Coturnix japonica: one gene and its partner. The protein of the gene in region 1 purifies or fractionates together with the protein of each later gene. This does not show direct contact. Links are inferred from orthologs where the notes say so. Each region holds a gene or a part of one and is shown in the gene's direction. Other genes may lie near its edges.

What was found.
Region 2: the proteins of L3MBTL3 (region 1) and SAMD13 purify together in Homo sapiens (affinity purification with mass spectrometry; 3 studies listed by BioGRID and IntAct, counting the BioPlex papers as one, with this or other methods). This does not show direct contact. The link is inferred for Coturnix japonica from reciprocal best matches to the Homo sapiens genes L3MBTL3 and SAMD13.

Annotation. Positions count from the first base shown.
Region 1 is NC_029518.1:52,473,351-52,478,552, reverse strand, and holds the end of L3MBTL3 (lethal(3)malignant brain tumor-like protein 3), read left to right. Parts: intron 1-1,700; coding exon 1,701-1,844; coding exon of another isoform or gene 1,845-1,929; 3' UTR 1,930-3,561; downstream 3,562-5,202. UniProt on the Homo sapiens protein: Is a negative regulator of Notch target genes expression, required for RBPJ-mediated transcriptional repression. It recruits KDM1A to Notch-responsive elements and promotes KDM1A-mediated H3K4me demethylation.
Region 2 is NC_029523.1:14,552,443-14,557,736, reverse strand, and holds the start of SAMD13 (sterile alpha motif domain-containing protein 13), read left to right. Parts: upstream 1-1,329; 5' UTR 1,330-1,484; intron 1,485-1,539; exon of another isoform or gene 1,540-1,777; intron 1,778-2,102; exon of another isoform or gene 2,103-2,240; intron 2,241-2,707; 5' UTR 2,708-2,731; coding exon 2,732-2,784; intron 2,785-5,294.

The DNA of each region.
Region 1 (5,202 bases):
ATAGTTCAGGTGCTTATCCTTACCAGGCCATATGAATGTGCAAAGTATGATGCTGTATTATCCCATGTTGTCATCCCTTGCAAGTGGAGAATAACTGTGGTACTTAAACTTGAGAAGGTAAATGCACCTCCTGAGCATGGCCCTGCTAATTCTGGGACAGAAGTTTCCAGGTTGCAATGTAGATTTTAATCTAAGGACCGACAGTCTCTGGGCGTTTTGCACTTGCTTAGATTTTAGGCATTTTACAATTGTATCTGCTATGCAGACCGAGTTCATCCTGCATCACTTAGGAGGACTCTCCAAGAGATTTAAAAATCAATAACAGCTGGTGCACTGCTGATTGAATCAACAGATTGGGAGTGCCACAGAGATGGATAAATACTAAATACTTTTGTTTTCAGAGGTATAAGAAAATTCTTGCCTCCCATAGGGGAGCAAGCTCCATCTGTCTGTGCAGGACCATTCTCTGCCAATGGTGCCAACCGGAGTGGACTGGCTGGCATCTGTACAGTTCACAGAGAAATAATACCCTGTCTACTAATTCTAATTGGCATACAGGCATGAATGATGTTCATTCTGGAATACTCTATCAAGCTTACAACTGAAGGTCTTTCAGTAGGTAGAAGGTGTTGGTTCAGACTTCTGCTGTGGAGATGAACCCCCATCCTTATGTTATGAAGCTGCAAAAAGCCAGGCACCCCTATACTGCAGTGCTTCTGGTTCTGAGCCCATCCAGTCTGGCTTTGTAAATAAAGTGAGTTGACAGTAACCTCAATAACCATGTGGTGCTGATCTCACTGCAGTGCTTCTCAGCTTGCAGTGCTGCAGTGGTCTGCCTTAACAGCACGTCTGATTCAGAAAGCTCATGTCCTGGTTTCACAGGAAATTAATTACACTAGTTCTATCTCAAGTCGGTATCTCTAAGTCTAAGCAATGCTCCCAGTTTAAACACAATTGACTTTTAGGCTTAGCTGTCCTGTTCACACTGAGAAGTTGCTGCAGATAGCAAAGATACTGAAGTTTACCAATAAGTATTTGCCCCAGTTTGCTCTGGAATGTGAGGGCTTTGGCTCTTCATGGTCAGATTTAGAATCCTGGTGACAGAATGATTTGCTTACAGTAGAATATTTGTTTGTAAATTTTATTAAAGAAAGAAACACAACAAGAGAAAAAAGGTGTTTTTTCAAAAGGCATTTGTATCAGAGGCAGTTTTACCTAGTCCAACCCGTGTTTACATTTGGGGCATTCATTTTAATTTCCTATTGAATGGACAGAGAAAAGTGGCCTGAAGAGGGTTCTAGTTTTCTAGCTAGGAGTGAAATCTGGAGACTTGCTTATGAAGGCTTGCATACAAGGAAAAGCTAAAATGGCAAAATTAGTTACTATGTTGCAGCACTGTTGAATTCGACTTCATTTTACATTTTAGTAGCTTTTTTTTAATACAGTCAGTATGAAAAAAAAAAACACGGGCTAGCTACAAATTAGCCAGACAGTTGTTTTCAAGCAGAAAGATCATTATCCTGTTCTCTTGGACTAATCTGTCTAAAAAGTTTATAGCAAAGCTATCCTGGAGTTTGAAAGCATTTGTATTCAACCATTCTTTTTAGATTGTCAGGTAATTTTCTCTTTATGTTTTCTGAACCATCTATACTGCTTCACTGTCAGACCTATTAATAGCTTTGTGTGTTTTTCTTTTAAAGCAAATTGATGGAGAAGCATTTCTGCTAATGACCCAATCAGACATAGTCAAAATAATGAGCATTAAACTGGGACCAGCCCTAAAAATCTTTAATTCCATTCTGATGTTCAAAGCTGCAGAGAAAAACTCACACAATGAACTCTGAAGATAACGGAAAATGTGTACAAGCCAGCTTCCTCCACTGGAGCTCATGTTTTATTCAAAGCACAAAGACTCACCAGAATTATTGAGTAAGGACTCTCAGAAAGGAAGAAAACTATGTTCTGCACTGGTGGACTGTTCATATTCTCCTAGAGCCGGTATACATCTGAATCCTTCTGGGAAGTGCTCACGCTTTTGAGAAGGTACTTTTTAACAACCAAGTCAGCTAGTCCTATTTACCAAACTAATGGCGCTAATTCTCCATGGAGGGTTAGGATCTCTAACACTCTCTGGACATCAAGAAAAAACCTTCATTGATTATTTATGCTGTATTATATAAGGGAACATTAATATTTTCTAAGAATTCCTGAATTCTGCTTCGTGTACCCATTTTACTTTTTGGTAGCTATTATTTCTTACCATCGAAATAAAAAATGATTAGCCAAAAATTAGGCTATGGGCCAGATGAGACTGTTATGGCTAATACAAATTTGTGCCATAGTTTAAAGATGAAACCGTTAATGTTACATATGTGACACTTTATGCTACAGCATATAACTTTACAGATTATAAAGCTGTCTGTTTGCTTGTAACAAACCAAACCTTGTTGGGGTTGAAATTACAATGCTTTTTTGATAACTGAATGTTTTTACTTTTGCACGATTACAAAAATGTTATGTGAGTTTTTCCACCAGCATCTTTAATGTATTTTACCAAAAGATCAGTATAGAGAAGGCTGCAACTGAAAAATACAGTTTGACTTCATAGAAGACATTCATTTATGCTGCACAATAGAGCCCCAGCCTTTTACATGGGAGCCTGCTTACAGTCCTTCCACACATGAAGGAAAATACATGTATTTTGGGGTAAGATTATTAGCAGAAAAAGAAAATATATTTATTCATGGCTGCACATGATAGTCTCCAGTATACATACCAAAGCAGTGGAGATAAACAGTGTGCTAAAGCTAGGACTGCTACTCTGGCTTCATATTCAACGTAAGCTTGTATTCCTAATGGTGGGAGAATTATTTAACCAACCACTTCCTAGCTGAAAAATCTGATTTATAAAGGAATTAAGCATAGTAGGAAAGCCCAAGCATGGAGGGAAAAGCTACTTAAACACCTATCCTGTATAGGCATGAACTAGGTAAAAGGCATGGGTTTCAACAAGTCATTAGCAAGGCTGCAGATTCCACTAGCAGGTACTTGGAGGCTTATTATGTCAGGGAAATTTGTTGCACTTGGTATATATACACATAAGATGTAAACCGGATGCACTTTACACTGGAGAAAGCCTAGCTACTAATATACCAGAATTTTGCTTTTACAAGAAGAGAGAGAAGAGTTGGATCAAGCTTTTGGCAGCCCTCATCTTAGTACTGAGGTGGGCAGTTGCTCAGTAAGAACAGTTTTTCCGTTGTACAGAACTTGGAGAATTTAAAATCTTCCCACAGATTTCGCTAGGCTGTTCTTTGGCTGAAGTTCCTTAAGATTTCAAGAGCCCTTTGTGCCCCTTCCAGATCACACTGGTGACTGGTACCTGCCCCATAGTATGAGGTAAAACAGGGTCAGTATGAAGTAAGTTGCATTGCTCTATTAATTTCCTTCCATAGCATTGCATAAATAATATTTTTTACATTTTGTTCAATATTTGTACAGTCAAATTGCACTCTTATTGTACTACAATACAAATAAAACCTGAATTGGACCTGTCTGTTACATTCATGTATGCCCAGGATTCTCAAATTAAGCTGGATGTTCCAGAGGGTGGTGCGGAGTAGTTCTTCACTGTATTTCATTGTGCTTGTGCATCTGAAAGAGCAACTCAGCTACTGCAAGCTGACCTCACCCAAAACATTTCCTAGATCCATAAACTTGAATTTTGTCATTGACCACAGCTGACATGGAACGGAAGATGCTACATTCTATAGTTTTCCTTCCATGTACTTCCTTGAACTCTCACTTTCGGTGTGTGTTTTTCTCTCATGTGCCAGCTTTGAAGCCTTCAGGGAATACCAATGTTTTGCCACTTGACAGAAATCACTTAGGAACATTAGCAACTACCTGAATTCTTATATTCCTACTTATAGGGTACTGTAGTTTAATGAAATGGTTTGGTTAAATGAAATGGTCTGGTTAATTCTCTCTACGAGATGTAGAAAACTTCATTTGAATGAAGCTCTCTTTACTTAGCAAGAGCATAATCACTTCATTCACTTTTGTATGATATGTGACAAGGTAATAGGGCAAACTCTGTTACAAAGCACCCAACAAAAGCAGTAGGACACGAAAAATACTCCAACATAGTTGATCTTTGAAATGATAATTGCAGTTGTGTTGGAGATGACCCAGCAGTTACATGGCTAAGGATATCCCAGTTTCCACGAGAGGCAAGTGAGAATCCTGAAACTTCTTTCTATGAGAGTCAGGTCATTTATTGCAGTATTCTCCCCTCATACTGCACTATACCACTGTAATCTCTGAATTGGACTCACCCTTGTGCAAGCAGTGCTTAAGAAAATCCCTGCAGCTTCCTAAGCCACATTTTTGAGTGTGGAGAATACTGGTGAATGCAGATACTGCTTCGACTACATCAACACTTCTAGAAATGGTGAAAAATGAAACTCTTTAGCAGAATGTTTTGGTTTGGTTTGATTTAGTTTTGGTTTTAAAAAAAGCTATTTACCATCCTGTATATACTAACTCATGCCGTGGTCAAGCTTGCTGGCAGCTGCTGTTGTCCATCCAAAGCTATCCACTATATCAGGATTTTCAGGGGTGCAAGGCACTTAAGGAATTAAGAAGGCTATGGTAGGGAGTAAAGAAGACTGTGGAAGAAGAGAGTAGGGCTCCATTTTGTGCGGGCAGACAGGACACATACCATGTGGAGAAGACTGATCTGTTCTGGGGAATAAGCTCAGATAGAAAATGAGGCATTTGTTTCCGAGCACAAAAGCTGTTGTTACAAATGCATATGACAGCATCCCAGAAAGTCATTCTTGCTACTTTGAGAACTGATCTCAGAATCCTCATTTGGCAAATTTTGGATTAATGTTAAAAGAAAGAAGAAAACATATCATGCATTGGCTAAAGAATGAAAACTCATCATCTTCAGTGTTTTAAAGCAAAGAAATACATTCAAGCACTTTCAATGATCACATGAAGATAACATAGTAAGAGAGGTAACAAATCTTTAATTTGTGTAAATTCAGAACACTAAGTGCTCACATTCACTCATAAGTACTTTTTAATTCTGATGGTAAAAATACTGTCTTAATTTGTAAAATGCTTTATGTGGGAAACTGATACATAACACCTGCAGCAAGCTAGAATATTGTATTTACTCTAATGCTTCCAGAC
Region 2 (5,294 bases), on another chromosome or scaffold:
CACCTTACCCTAAGGAGCGAAAATGCAAGCTGCAGATCATACTCTGCACTGAATTCTTCCACAGCCTGTTTTCTCAGACTTCCTCTCTTTGCTGCTCAAGGTCTTTTATGCTGTGTGCCTTGAGCCAAATGCTCCAAAGACTAATTGAGAACATGATGGAAGGCACGGGAGAGCGAGAGAAAAGAGCTGGTCTATATTTGTAGCTTCAAATGTCAGTTCATTACCAAAGTCAGAAAACAGCTGATGCAGAAAACTTGTTACGGCCTCTTTTAGAGTGCTTGTTTCTCAAGAGACAAAAAGAACTGCCTTCTGTGACTTGTCCAATGCAGATATGTCGTGTTTTACCGTATGCACTGAGATTTGAGGTAAAGAGGGTTTTCTTTAGGGTGCAGAATGTTTAATACTTTGTTTGACTTGTTTCTCTGTGTTTAAAATCTGAAGCAGTGAGGACTTGCACTGCTGTTAGTTTTCAGCACTGTCATCAATAGTCATCACGTTATTTGTGTAGCTTTCGTATGCTTTGGTTATTCGTTTGGTTAAGGCATAATGAAATGCTCAGCGGGGACTATATCTACTGGCCCATGGGCTCAGTTGTGCCCTTCTTGCCATTACTGTGCTGTATCTGGTTTGCTGTTTTGGGGCTTGGATCCCTGACTGCAAACACAGGGTGCACTCAGCTGCTTCTGGCGGTGATGCCAAAATGATTTCCATACTGCTACCAAATTGGTGCTGTTAGGAGTGGTGAGACAGTTGCTGGGATATTGTACAGGGGGGGGTCTGCCAAGTCTTAGTAGGGCAAGGTAGGAGCAGGTGTTATGTTACTCCCAGTGGGCCAGGTCTGTCTTTTGTACATCACAGCACTGCAAACCTTGCAGGGTCTCACATGTGTCCCAGCGCAGCACACTGTGTGGTGCTCGGGGCAGGTGTGAGCAGGGCCTCAGGTCCCCGAGATGCCGTTTCTGGTTTCAGAGGCAGCTCAGCGCTCGCTGCCCACTCACGTACTGACAAACTCACTTCAGAAGTAGTTGGATACAACTTCTCCAATTCTGCAACGCCTGGTTGTTCCTATTTCCCTCCTGTTTCCCGAGGCTCTTTTCCAAAGCTATCTACGGAGTTGTTCGTCGCCTCCACCACCCGCTCCATCGGCACACCCCGGCACACCCTTGTGAGTAGGAGGAGTGGAAGCGGCCGCAGGAGCCCGATGCCCCTCGCCTGCGGCCCCGAGGAGGCAGGCGGGCATTCAGCCAGCCGGCCCCCTCCCGCAGGTAGGAGCGGCGCCTTTAAATCGTCCGCCATGACTCGGGCGGAGGTTGGTGGGGGCCGTGTGTGGCGGCGGCGTCACTCGGGCCGGGAGCCAGGCGGGGCCGCTGCCCGCTGCCGTACGGAGCCGCCTCCGAGCGCCCCGCTGCCGGCGGGGGGCTGGCGGCAGGGGCTCCGCCGCGCCGGAGCATCGCGTAGCCATGCTTCGGTTTAGTTGCCCGTAGGTAGGTCCGTCTGTCTTTGCTTCCCCCGCCCCTTCCCCCCCGGACGAAAAAATAATGACAATGTGGTGCCACGCTGCCTGCCGGAGATGCCCGTAAGATGGTGCACGCGTGTCACGCAGCGCCCGCCGGGAGCCCCCCAGGTGCGGGCGGGGTCGCGGTAGCTCCGTCCCGGCGGCTGTCAGTGCCCTCACCTGGGCTGCGCCGAGCGGCGGCCGCGGGCAGCGCCGAGTGCTCCGGGCTCAGCGTGGAAGGAGCATCCACACCCGCCAGTTTGGTGCTGCTCCCTGCTGCTGGTAACTGCCTAATAAAGGGTTCCTTTCTTTCCTTTTATTTTATGTAAGCAGCGGCGTTAATCGCTATCGTTTGCTTTTGCAAAGTTTAAGCTGAAGAGCGCGATTTCCCTGTTCCGTACTTCCCCGAGCTCTGAGTCGTACCGCCGGCGTCCATTAACGCTACAGCGGGAACATCCCGAGCCCGTGGGTAGTTACGGTGCTCCCCGACATAGAAATGCCTTTGAGAGCAGGAGGAGGAGGCTGGGCTGCTCTCTGTGCCTTCCCTGGGGCGGTGAGAGCGGCCAGCGGGCTGGCTTTCCTCCCGTGTCCTTTGTACGGTCCTTTCCCCCTCCGAGCTCAGTGTGCATAGAGGAAGCATTGCGAAGCACAGGAAGGATGGGCTGACGGAGAAGGTGCACAATTAGGCCTCAGGAGTTTTGGACTCGATCAGTGACTCGGCTTTGCCAGCTGGTTTGTGACTGAGGTAGAAATTGTATTTCTCATCGGTGTTTCAGATCCCCTTTTGTAAAACAAGGGCGTAGGTTTCCAAGCCTTGCTAGGAGTAATGCTTCTGCTTGGGATCCTCAGTACAGCAGGGTGACTGAAGGCACTGTGAGCACGCTTGGTATCCAACCGTAGACATATTGCAGGCTGGTTTTTCTCTACGTAGCTTAGATCAAAATTGTTTCAGTTTAAAAAAGGATCGTATGTGATGCTTTGTGTCTTAAAATCAAGAAAGGTGCTATTTCCTGTGTTCAAAGCACAAGCAAACTTTTCCTAATGCGTTAGTTATTACTGGCTTTACCAAGGCTCTGACGGAAGTGGTCTTCTGCAGTGCTTTTGCTCTCAGGTGGAAACAGTTGCATCTGTATAGAATACTTGTTTCTGTTGTGTTACGTTGTTCTTTTCGTACCACCAGTAACTAAACACAGCTTTTTTTCCTGTTAATAGCTGCTGAGGAAACCTCTCTTCTCCATGCTAACTGTTGACATGGAAAACAAGGAAAATGGTTCTCTGGATGTCAAAAAGTAAGTGATTCTTTGGAGTTCGGGTTATGTAAACAGCATGTGAATTTTGATGGTATTTTTCCATTGACTTAATATGGTTGGCAGGGGTGGGGACCTCCATCTTTGCTTATTTCTACCAATCTGTGTTCTCAATTAGTTTTATTGCATTTCTTCTTTGAAATGAAAGAATCTAGGGCACTGAAGTGATTTAAAGTGGCATGCAGGATAGTACAGCAATGGAGAAGAGCAGAAGCTAACAAGTTGGTAGTATTCATTTTTCTGTTGTTTTCTTATCTTAGCTAGTGACCAAAGCAAGTGGTAGCACAGCAACTGATGCTCTGCCCATGTTCATCTGTCTGCTGTTGTGGGGAAAGCTCCTCTCACCATCCACTTTGACTGACAAGGTGAAACTTCTAAGGAAGGACTTGCAAAAGTCAAAGCAGCAAATGGTGCCTAATGTGTCTGTCTGTGTGCTTTCTAGAACCAGTGTCTGATGGGGAGAAGTGTCCCATGTAAATGTCTCCTGCTATTCTTTTTGGAGGTGATGTATGCATCTCCCTGCTGACTGCCCAGCCATCCTGAGCTGAGAAGCAGCACGTGTCCCTTCTGAAGCAAATATTTTAAGCTTTTTGCTGAGGAAGCCCTAAACAGACCTTCAGACCTATGGTGGGAATAAGGGAAAGAAAGACATGATGTGCTCTGCTCTGCCGTTTTCTGCAATTTGGTGCGCTGCAGGCTAAAGAATAGGAACTGTTTTAGAAGCATTTGCTTATCCTTGAAGGTCATCAGTTCTTCAGTTGGGATTGCTACTCCTCATCTTACTGTCTGAAGAGTGAAGTTTTGTGTGGAAAAACAGCTATATTGTATTAGGCCTATAGATGCTCTGTTGATAAGTAACAAAGGGAAAGGAACTAGAAAGAGTTTATCACCTGTCCTCTTGGACTGCAGCAATTCTATGAAGCTGCACCTCATTCTTGTCCTTCAGATCTCTTTGCCACGAGTTGTCCATGAAAATATGACAATGGTTAGGCTCCCTATCACCAAGTAATATAAATAATAATAATGGATACTGTTGAAACTCATGATTATGACACAGCATTAAAAGATCTGCTGGTAGCCAATGAAGTATGCATCTTCCCCATTAACTTGGGACTCCGGCTCTACCACATCAATATAAAAAGCATTTCCCTGCTTAGTGACCATGCATAGATTATGCCTCTCAGATGCCACCTTTAGTTTTCTTCTGCACCTGATACTCCATGGCAGATGCAAGAAGAGAAGCAGTCAGAACAAGGACAGCTTACATTTAATCATTTTCCCTCAAGACTTAGGTGATAAAGACCCAATTACTAATTGCAATAGTGGCTTTTTAAAACTGGTAGTGATTATAATTAAACAGAGCATAAGCTGTGGTTTCTAAAGAAAAGTACATAGTATGTATGTGTGCCTGTCTACTAAGGAAGTATTTGGCACTTTCTTGAAGTGGTTATAAATAGCTTGGATAAAATCTGTTTGTTCACAGTTATATTCTTCCAGGCCTTGCTGCTTTGGCCACATGATGGCAATAAAGGTACAGGGATGGTGGCAAACAGAAGACGAGTCAAATCTTTATTCATTGTTAGTACACCTAGTATCTGATTATAAAACCGAACGTACTTGCTCTCTTAAGGTTTTAGGGAATCCAGGATGTCTGGTATAAACTGGTATATGGCTAAACTGTGGCTCTTATATATTCCCTTTTCTTGTCTAAAGAATAGAGCCGTGTGCAACAGCAGGGTGAGGACAAGGCTGTCTAGAAGCCAAATGAGCATCTGTGTGGATAGATGATTTAAAATCCAGCCAGCCCCTGACAGTATGCCACATGCCTGTGAGTTTTCTGCAGCTGTAGCTGTAGAAATTGGCTTTGCTTGAGGTCTGACATGATGCTATTCCTTGAGGTAGGAACTTGCCGTTATTCCTGGGGTTAGGAATGACTAAGGTGGGGCTCTTGAAGGCATTGCAGTTGGGCATAGGGTGGGACTAGACCAAGTGCTGTGTTCCCTGCAGTAAAAGAGCTGTATGAAAAACTGATACACTTGGGCTGAAGTACGTTGTGGGTGGATCACAGTCAACTCAAAAAGAAAATGCTTTTGGAAGTAAGCAAAATACAGTTAGGTATTTTGACAGATTGAGTCTTTCATTTACTTTTTAGGAATAATAAAATTGTTCTTTGAGAATTTTTTTATTTTTTAAATAAATACTGGGTTTTTGGGGTTTAGTTTGTTTATTTTTAATTATTGGTTGAAGATGTGTCATTGCAGGTGTCTGGGGGGGAAAATCCAAAGATATAATTCTTCAAATCTTGGTTCTACAAATACACATAGGTTTTGTATGGTGCTTTCCACAGCATTGTATTTCTTAAGCCTCAGAATGTGCACAGCACCAAAAACAGAAAACAAACAAAAAAAAAAATCACCAAACCTTCAGGTGCAGCTCTGATAAGTTGGATAGTCTTGTTTAACATTTTGCTGAGTGTTGCCTTTCTCTGCAAT